2 linked regions of the Nothobranchius furzeri genome follow. The main gene of each other region encodes a partner of the protein of the gene in region 2 in a complex. Links are inferred from orthologs where the notes say so. Each region holds a gene or a part of one and is shown on either strand. Other genes may lie near its edges. The genes, in order: ldlrap1b and AP-1 complex subunit beta-1.

Region 1 (3,918 bases), on a different chromosome or scaffold from region 2:
AAATAGCCATTTTCGCTCCGAACCGTTCTTTGAACATTGTTTCAACTGTCATCAAGGAAATAAATGTTACAGATACAATAGATGACACTGGCGCTTTAGCTCACCTAGTTAGATGTCGGACTCTCGTGCAGAAAATCCAGGTTCGATTCTGGATGTGAACATAAATTATTTAGAATTTATTTTTTTTACATTAATGGTATTTTTTTTTTACACTAAGATGCCCAAATTTTTATTTGAAACTCGCCGAACGGCATTGAATTCACAGATAAATATGTGGGTTCAACTTTCATTTTGGAACAATTTTTCAAGCAAGGTAAGGGAATGATCTGAGCATGCAGGAGGACTGACCCATCTTAAACCTTTGTCAGCTGTGCTGAAGAGAAAGGTACAGAACCAAATTATTTAATTCATTAGCTGCGCGTTCTCCTGTCCTCCGGGCCACCCACCCACCCACCCACACACACACACACACACACACACGGGACTGTCTCAGCTGTTATTTTCATTAAGGAGTGTGCACGTACAGCATGCGCGCCTCGTGCACGAGCCTACTATTGAAGCTGCCGTTACTCTTTTGGCCTGAGGGGACAATCGCGAGCATAAAAATTCAAAACTCCATAAAGTCCCTTTAAAGTCAAATAAAAATGTCCCATAGCTTTAACTAACTTGTACAACATAGTTAATCCTGAAGGTGACACTCTGTTAATACTGATTGTGAATCGATTTAAATTGAGAATCGAGAATCAATTCTGAATCGAATCGACACCCCAAGAATCGGAATCGAATCAAATCGTGAGTCGTTTTCAGATTCACATCCCTAGTTGCCAGACTGCATAATTTGGTAGAATTTGTGTGACATTAGAAATCTAAAGCCAAAACCGACTGAGCACTCACCAGCTTCTGAATAATGTGAAAAATCCTAATGAGTCACACAACTGTGATCTCTAGAGGCAGCATCATTAACACACACACACACACACACACACACACACACACACGTGCGCGCAAGTATTAGATTTCTGTTTATCCGTCTTTCACGTTGGCAACGTCACAAAGGACAGCTCCCTGACAAGCCACGAGGGAGTTTTCTGCCTCCCACGCATTTCATTTTAAAAAGAAAAATAGGCCTTTCATACCCAAGAATACTGCTGATGTTTTAAACAATTTCTATCTGTGAAAAATGGAAACTAGCTGGATGTTGTGACCAGGCAGGGTGTCATTACATCAACCCAGCAGGGTGGGATTAAACAGAAAGCATGCAGGAATTAGGCCCAAAAGCAAAACTAATGAGATTGAATTTAATATCGACATGCAGCAATAAATAATACAGACATGACTGATCAACAATAATAAATAATCGTATAACAAATCAACAGTGACAGTGGAAGAAAAGGAGAGAAATTGCAAAACTGCCATTGCAAAAATACATCAATTGTGCCACATGCAAAGGAAAAGGTCCACTTGGGGGGACATTCCTAATGACACAGCAGGCCAAGACAAGTTTATTCACAACACCCAGACTCTGTTAAGTCTGCAATTAGATTGCAACAGCGAAGAAAAGTGGAAGACGAAGAGCTCCTTGATAACAGGCGAAAGAAAAACGGGAACTTCTGATTAATGTTTGACATGTGTGCAGAATGGTTTACAGGACTGGCTTCTGTGTGGTTGAATGTCAAAGGCAGAGGCAGGGTGGGATGCTTGGCCACAGATAACAGAGGGTCAGGGCTGGATGATCGATCAATTTTTGACCAGAAGGATGCTGCTGATTAAGCATCACTCCCCAGGGGAGGCAAAGAGGGGACCAAAACAAAGCATCAGCGTGGCATCCTGCTGCCAGCTCCTCGGCTGCCTTTAGAAGGCATGGAAAGATGGGGAAGCCCCAGGCTTTGTGAACTTGCATTTAAAAGCCCACACTGCTCTTCCGTTTGGCTGACACGTAAAAAAACACACACCTGTCATGGATTAACCAAACCCATCATTTGACCTCATAACAAGTCAGGAATCTGTAATCCTGAAAGAATGTGCAACCCCACCTTCATGCAGCCTCCTGTTTCTCGCACATTATGTATTGCCTAGCAACAGTGCGTTGCTAGGACTGCGCAGGCTTTGCCACGGAGGCGACCACACATTTCTCTCTGGTCTGGATCAGAGGACTGCAGCTCCCCAGCAGAGTGCCTGTTTCACATTTCAAACCCAAACAAACTGATCTGGGGTTTACGCACAGCTCCCCAAACTTCGCTAGTCTCGCGCACGCGAGCTCTGGTGCTACACTTTTCCCACATATTCAGATTAAGTGTCAAGTTCTGGGGCAGAAAGGTAACCTGACACACACACGAGTGTAGCCGACACCTGTACCGAGCGTGCATGGATAAGTTATAAAGCAGGGCTAGGACAAAACACCGGTTAGCAACACAATTAGCACCAGCTAACACCAACACGCACGGTGAGCAGCACTTACTTTTATGTTTGCCCGAACCCCAGGACTGCGTCGCGATACTGGGGCTCCGTATAATTGCCCTCCCGGCGGATTTCAAAGCGTCCATGTCCGTAAACCCAAAAACAGAAGTGGGGCGAAGAGCCCGACGAGCGCGCGTCCGTCTCCGTCGACTCTCTCCCTTCTCTCGGTTTAAAACAGCCCTCTCTCTCCCGAGAAAACTTTTTAAATCGTCTCTTTTCTTCTCCTCAGCGCTCAGCTCGGTTTCAGTCGATGGTGGATTATCATGCTCGTCCTCTGGGCGGTGTTATGTATGTAAATTGGCCGGATGGCGCGTGCGTTACGCCCGTTGTGGTGTCACGCGAGCGGCGCGGCAGGGCGACAGGTCGCGCGAGCGGCAAGAAGGCGCTGCTCCGACGCGCGGCGTGACTGCCCTTCCAGCTGTTCCGCTCAATCTATAACGCTGCTGCTCGCTTTTATTGAGAAGTCTTCCGTTTGTTTCCTGAGCTCCCACTGACGCGCGAAGACACGTCACGGACTCGTCTCACCTCAGCAAGTGGATTAACGAGTCGGGCCGGGCAGACTGGGTCACATCACTGTGGCATGTAGTCAGACAACCAACCACTGCAATAAATGGATTTGTTGTAGTAAAATCTCTCAATCAAATATATTAAAATCACTGGGTATTGAAGAGCTTATTCCACTAATAATTATAATTCACTGTTTGGTGCAAATTGATTAAATAATTTTTCAAGAATAGAATGAAAATATCTGTTTATTAGCTAATTTTCACAAATGTGAAATAATGCCAAGACGAGGGAACAATTAAAAACTGTAATCTGATTACATTTAAAACAGATGTACGCAGGGGTGATTCTAGGAGGGGGCTAGCGCCAACTTGACAGCAAGCTTGGACCCCCCTGCTGAGGGCGGAGCCAAAGCATTAATAATTACTGATTTGTATGAACAAATATTTTCAGGTTGTCATAATAAATAAATTAGATAAAACACTTTTTTAAATAGTTGTATTTTCAAACTGAAAATCTGTTGTAATTATTGAAAAACTTGTAAATAGAAATGTTGAAATAATAATTGTAGTTTTCTCACTATTGTGCTTCTCTAACAGAGCAGATGGCCTCGGCCTGTAAGAATCTCCCCCGATATCATACATTTTCCAATTAGATCATAATTGTTAACCATTACAAACACGGGAGGGCAAAGCTCAACAAAGCTCAACTTCCCTTACCATAAAACATGAGGACTTTTTTTATTTGTAATTAGAAATTAAAATTTAATGGTTAAGAAACTAAAACATGTCCACCCTCACTCATATTTAGTAATGAGATTTAGAATGAAACCAAATGGCATCCCCATGTGTCAGACTGAGACTATTACATCATTATAAAGCACTCAGGAGAATGGCTCGTAAAGGATCCCAGATGAGAAGCTTGGAGACGGGAGTTCAGGAGCCTAACACTCCCCTG
Region 2 (3,918 bases):
AGCTTTACTAAGGGGATCAGGGCAAACAAAAATAAAGGAATCTGGCATTATGAGTTTAGTCTGTAAAGAAAAGATTGGTTTAATGTACAAATGTTATGAGAGACCGACCGATATGGTTTTTTTAAGGCCGATGCATATTTTTAAAGAATTTTGTTGCTGATCGCCGACATTTAAAGCCAATTATTAAGGCCGATATATACGTGTTTTAGCAGCACATTTATTGTGAAAGACAACTGAACACTCACTATGTGCAATATAAATTAAATAGGTCAATAAATCTATTTTTATTCAACTTCAAATACAAAACAAACTCAAAACATTAAAGAACAGGTCACCCCCTACCAGAGTATTACGCCGGGGACACACCGGCCGCGGAAGCGCCGCAAAAATGGGACCGCCTTCATTCGGCGCCCTTGTTAAACTATTCTATAGACCACATGAGCCGCTGAAGCGCCGCGAATCGCCTCGGGCCGGCGCGCGCCGGCGCTCCAGCCCACGCCGTGCAGCGATCATTTCGGCGTCGGCTCTATTTTTTTCGCAAGCCGCGAGTGAATCGCGTCAATTCTGGCAGGAAGTCAAACCTAGACATAAGAGGCAGGCCGGTAAAGTTAACAAAATAAAGCATTTCAAAATAAAATTCCGCAATAGTCAAATGTGTTCGTAATCAGACACTGCAGAAAAACCACACGAACACACACAGACATACACACACATTGAACTTGTGTGCGTGTGTGAGCACGTGAAGGGGGTGTGGTTTTGGGTGTCTTTTCACCGGAGCAAACAGGACAGAGAGGCAGAAAGTCTGAGGCAAGCAGTTAAGATGGATGACTTTAAATTAATTATGGAAGTTGAGAAACACAAGGAGCTGTACGACCCCCGAAAAACATGGTTATTTACGAACCCATTTCGGAAGAAACTGCTAGGATACAGCTGCAGAATTGGAGCGGGTTCCAAGAGATTCAACAGACAGAAACAACTCATACCATAGGTTCACACACACACACACACACTCAAACGTAGAGGAAAAGAGCTGAGAAAAGGCAGAGAGGAAATGGAGGACACCAAGTGTTTAAAAGAAAAACTACAGCTGAGCCGAGGCGCGCCTCGACTGGAGCGCGTCTGATCTGAACTGAGGAGCGGCGAGCAGCGGCCGAATTTCGTGAGCGATTCGCTTCTCGGCGCTTCCGCGGCCGGTGTGTCCCCGGCGTTACTCCACTCCCACTTCCTGTTTGAAATATGCAACAAATGCAGTTGCCTAGCAGACCGAGGGTGGAGCCGCTAACAAATACACACACACAGGCTCACAACAACATTGTAACATCATATGGTACCAGCTAACATTTTAGGGTACCTCTTAGCCAATAGTGATGGCAGATTTAAATTCAAATGCAGTGCAGAGTTTTTACCTGACAACGGCACAACACTGACAGTTATAGGCCGAAAGTTATAATTGTAACTAAAATGCACTAAAGCGCTAAACTTTCGACTACACGTGTCTGCAGCATGATGACTCACATTTATATCAGAAAACATAAAAAATTGATTTGGGGGTGACTTGCTCTTTAAAAAACGGTGTGTTGGGTCCTTTCTTCAGTCTAGTAGTAGTGGCAGTTGGTCATACAGGTGCCCGATTTATTTAATTTTTTCTTAAATCTGCTTTTAAAAATAATTTCGTCCTACATAGAAAAGATAGAAAATATCGGCCGATATATTGGTTGGCCTCTAAATGTTATCATCCTTGGCGTTTATTTCTAACCTCATTTAAAAGGGCTACAACAATTCACAGCAGCTAGATTTGTAAGTAAATCCTTGCTGCAGGAAGAAATGATTCACATGAGCTGCATTTGAATTATTTTATTTTTGCCTCAACAAATACAAAACATTCACACAATCATTAAAAAAGTCCTTAGGCGTGTGTTTCCATAAGATCTGTTAGACTTTTTGAAAAAATTTGCAGGCTTTTTGTAAAAATCTGCAGGACACATAAGTGATCCGACATCAGATTTGACCTTGTTCTGTTTGTTTATGACGCTGGTGGCTCGCGAGCGTTTCAATGAGGAGCCCGTTGCCAAATATACGTTATGGCTTCAGAGACATTTAAGCAACTATTTGCCTCAAACTGTACACCTCTATTAAATATTTACGATAATCCCACAGGCACTAGTCGAGACAGTTCACTGTTTCAGGGCGTGACACTTTTAATCCAGAAACATCAACTTAATACATAATTCCCCTTAGCTAACATTGGTTAGCTTAACGGCTATGTACGAAAAAAAGCATCAACACTCATTCCGCAGTAAACAGCCCCAAACAGTGAATCTAAATAACCACCAGGGTTTTAGTTTCAGAAAACCGATTTCAGTTTTCGTTTGAGCATTAGGCTAAATCTGACACAAAAAAGAGAAAAGCGACCAGCGGCCCAGTTCCCATCGCTACATGCCTACTAGAGATACGCTAAAGCAGCCATACATTGACTAAGACACACAATTTACACATCAAAAAATTACACGATTGCAAAATTAACGTGAAATATGTGTACTTAAGTACCTGGTCGTGTGTGAAACTGAGAGGGAAAATCGCTGAACGGTCCTTTCCCTGGTTGGAGGAAGATGGAGAATGGTGCGTTTACAGTCATGGAAAATTGGACTACTTCCCTTTGGAGCTAAAACGAATGCTACGTTGGAGGACAACCCGCAGTCAGATAATGCGGGTTTCAGTCCATTTGTTTTGTTTTAAAAATGGGGAAAATATACCACTTCATTGCATATTTAATTTTTATTTAGTTAACCTTTATTTCAGATAAGAAAAATAAACAGTAAAATAAATAATAAAAGAAAACAGTACCTTGAATTTTGTAAAAAAAAACTGCTGGTATTATAGTACATTTATTAGACAAGTGTTATGCTCCATCTCCTAATGTTGGTGTAATAAATCGTTTCTGATGATTTTTTAAGTTAATAACATTTGTCAATAAAATGTCAGTTACAGTCTGAGAAGAACAGAAGATGACTTGAGACAAACTTTTCAGTTTTGGAAGCTTGTGCAGGATCCTAAATGCATCTTGAAATGTCAGTTTTAGTGTGTTTTTGGTTTTTATGCAGAAAATTCCAGCTCGAGTTGGGAAGTAGAGTTGATGGCTTTTTGTGGGAACGTTTCTCTGGCCTCTTGTAGCTTTTTGTATGCTCTTTGAAAGGCCTCTGAAGGGAAATAAAACAAACAAACAGAAAATACAAATTAAATTAACCCTGCAGAAAAATTCCCTGTTCTTTCTACATTTTTGTCTACTTTGGGCAATCAAGCTGCAATGCAAGGCTTGGTATACAGTCCATAACATTTTGTGAGTGTCCTAACAAATCCATCTTCCAGTGGTTTGAAATAACGAGAATCTAAATGATAAATGACCCATAATTGTATAGCGCCTCTCAGAGTAAGGACTCCAAAGCGCTGTACACTACAGTGTATCATTCATCCATTCACACACACATTTACACACTGATGGTGATGAGCTACGATGTAGCCACAGCTGCCCTGACGCTCGCTGACAGAGGCTAACTGGTGGCATTATGCTAATTTTCACTCCCGCTATCATAAAATCATTTCATGGTAAAAATAATAAATGGTGGAACATTCAGAGCCTGATTACAGTAAACTTTTTCACTTAACCACACACACAGAACTCACAGCTCACACAAACAAGGATACACTCAGCAGCAAACAGGAAGTGAAAGTCTTTTAAACCCTGATGCAAATACTGTGTGAGTATGTTTACCCAGAACATTGCAAACATCTCCCTGCTGACTAAATCCTCCCAGCTGGTCGATGACTTTCTGCCTCCTCTTTTTCTGAATGGCAGCGTCAACAAAGGCCCTGAAACAACCAGAAGCGAACAGTAAACACTTTTTAAAAGTAAAGATGAAA

What was found.
Region 1: the proteins of AP-1 complex subunit beta-1 (region 2) and ldlrap1b are in contact, whole or in part, in a crystal structure (PDB 2G30), measured with the Homo sapiens proteins. The link is inferred for Nothobranchius furzeri from reciprocal best matches to the Homo sapiens genes AP2B1 and LDLRAP1. Residues at the interface, in NP_001273.1 of Homo sapiens: Arg834, Gln835, Phe837, Leu838, Trp841, Glu849, Gln851, Ile876, Ala877, Arg879, Val881, Glu882, Gln884, Met886, Tyr888, Glu902, Arg904, Ser915; in NP_056442.2 of Homo sapiens: Asp253, Leu255, Asp256, Ala258, Phe259, Ser260, Leu262, Ala263, Gln264, Arg266, Thr267.

The regions. Positions count from the first base shown.
Region 1 is NC_091758.1:35,470,850-35,474,767, forward strand, and holds the start of ldlrap1b (low density lipoprotein receptor adapter protein 1b), read right to left. Parts: upstream 2,765-3,918; 5' UTR 2,544-2,764; coding exon 2,459-2,543; intron 1-2,458. UniProt on the Homo sapiens protein: Adapter protein (clathrin-associated sorting protein (CLASP)) required for efficient endocytosis of the LDL receptor (LDLR) in polarized cells such as hepatocytes and lymphocytes, but not in non-polarized cells (fibroblasts).
Region 2 is NC_091750.1:66,891,906-66,895,823, reverse strand, and holds the start of AP-1 complex subunit beta-1, read right to left. Parts: upstream 2,679-3,918; 5' UTR 2,548-2,678; intron 1-2,547. Other genes in the region: tectonic-like complex member MKS1, read right to left, coding at 3,094-3,197, 3,770-3,867. UniProt on the Homo sapiens protein: Component of the adaptor protein complex 2 (AP-2). Adaptor protein complexes function in protein transport via transport vesicles in different membrane traffic pathways.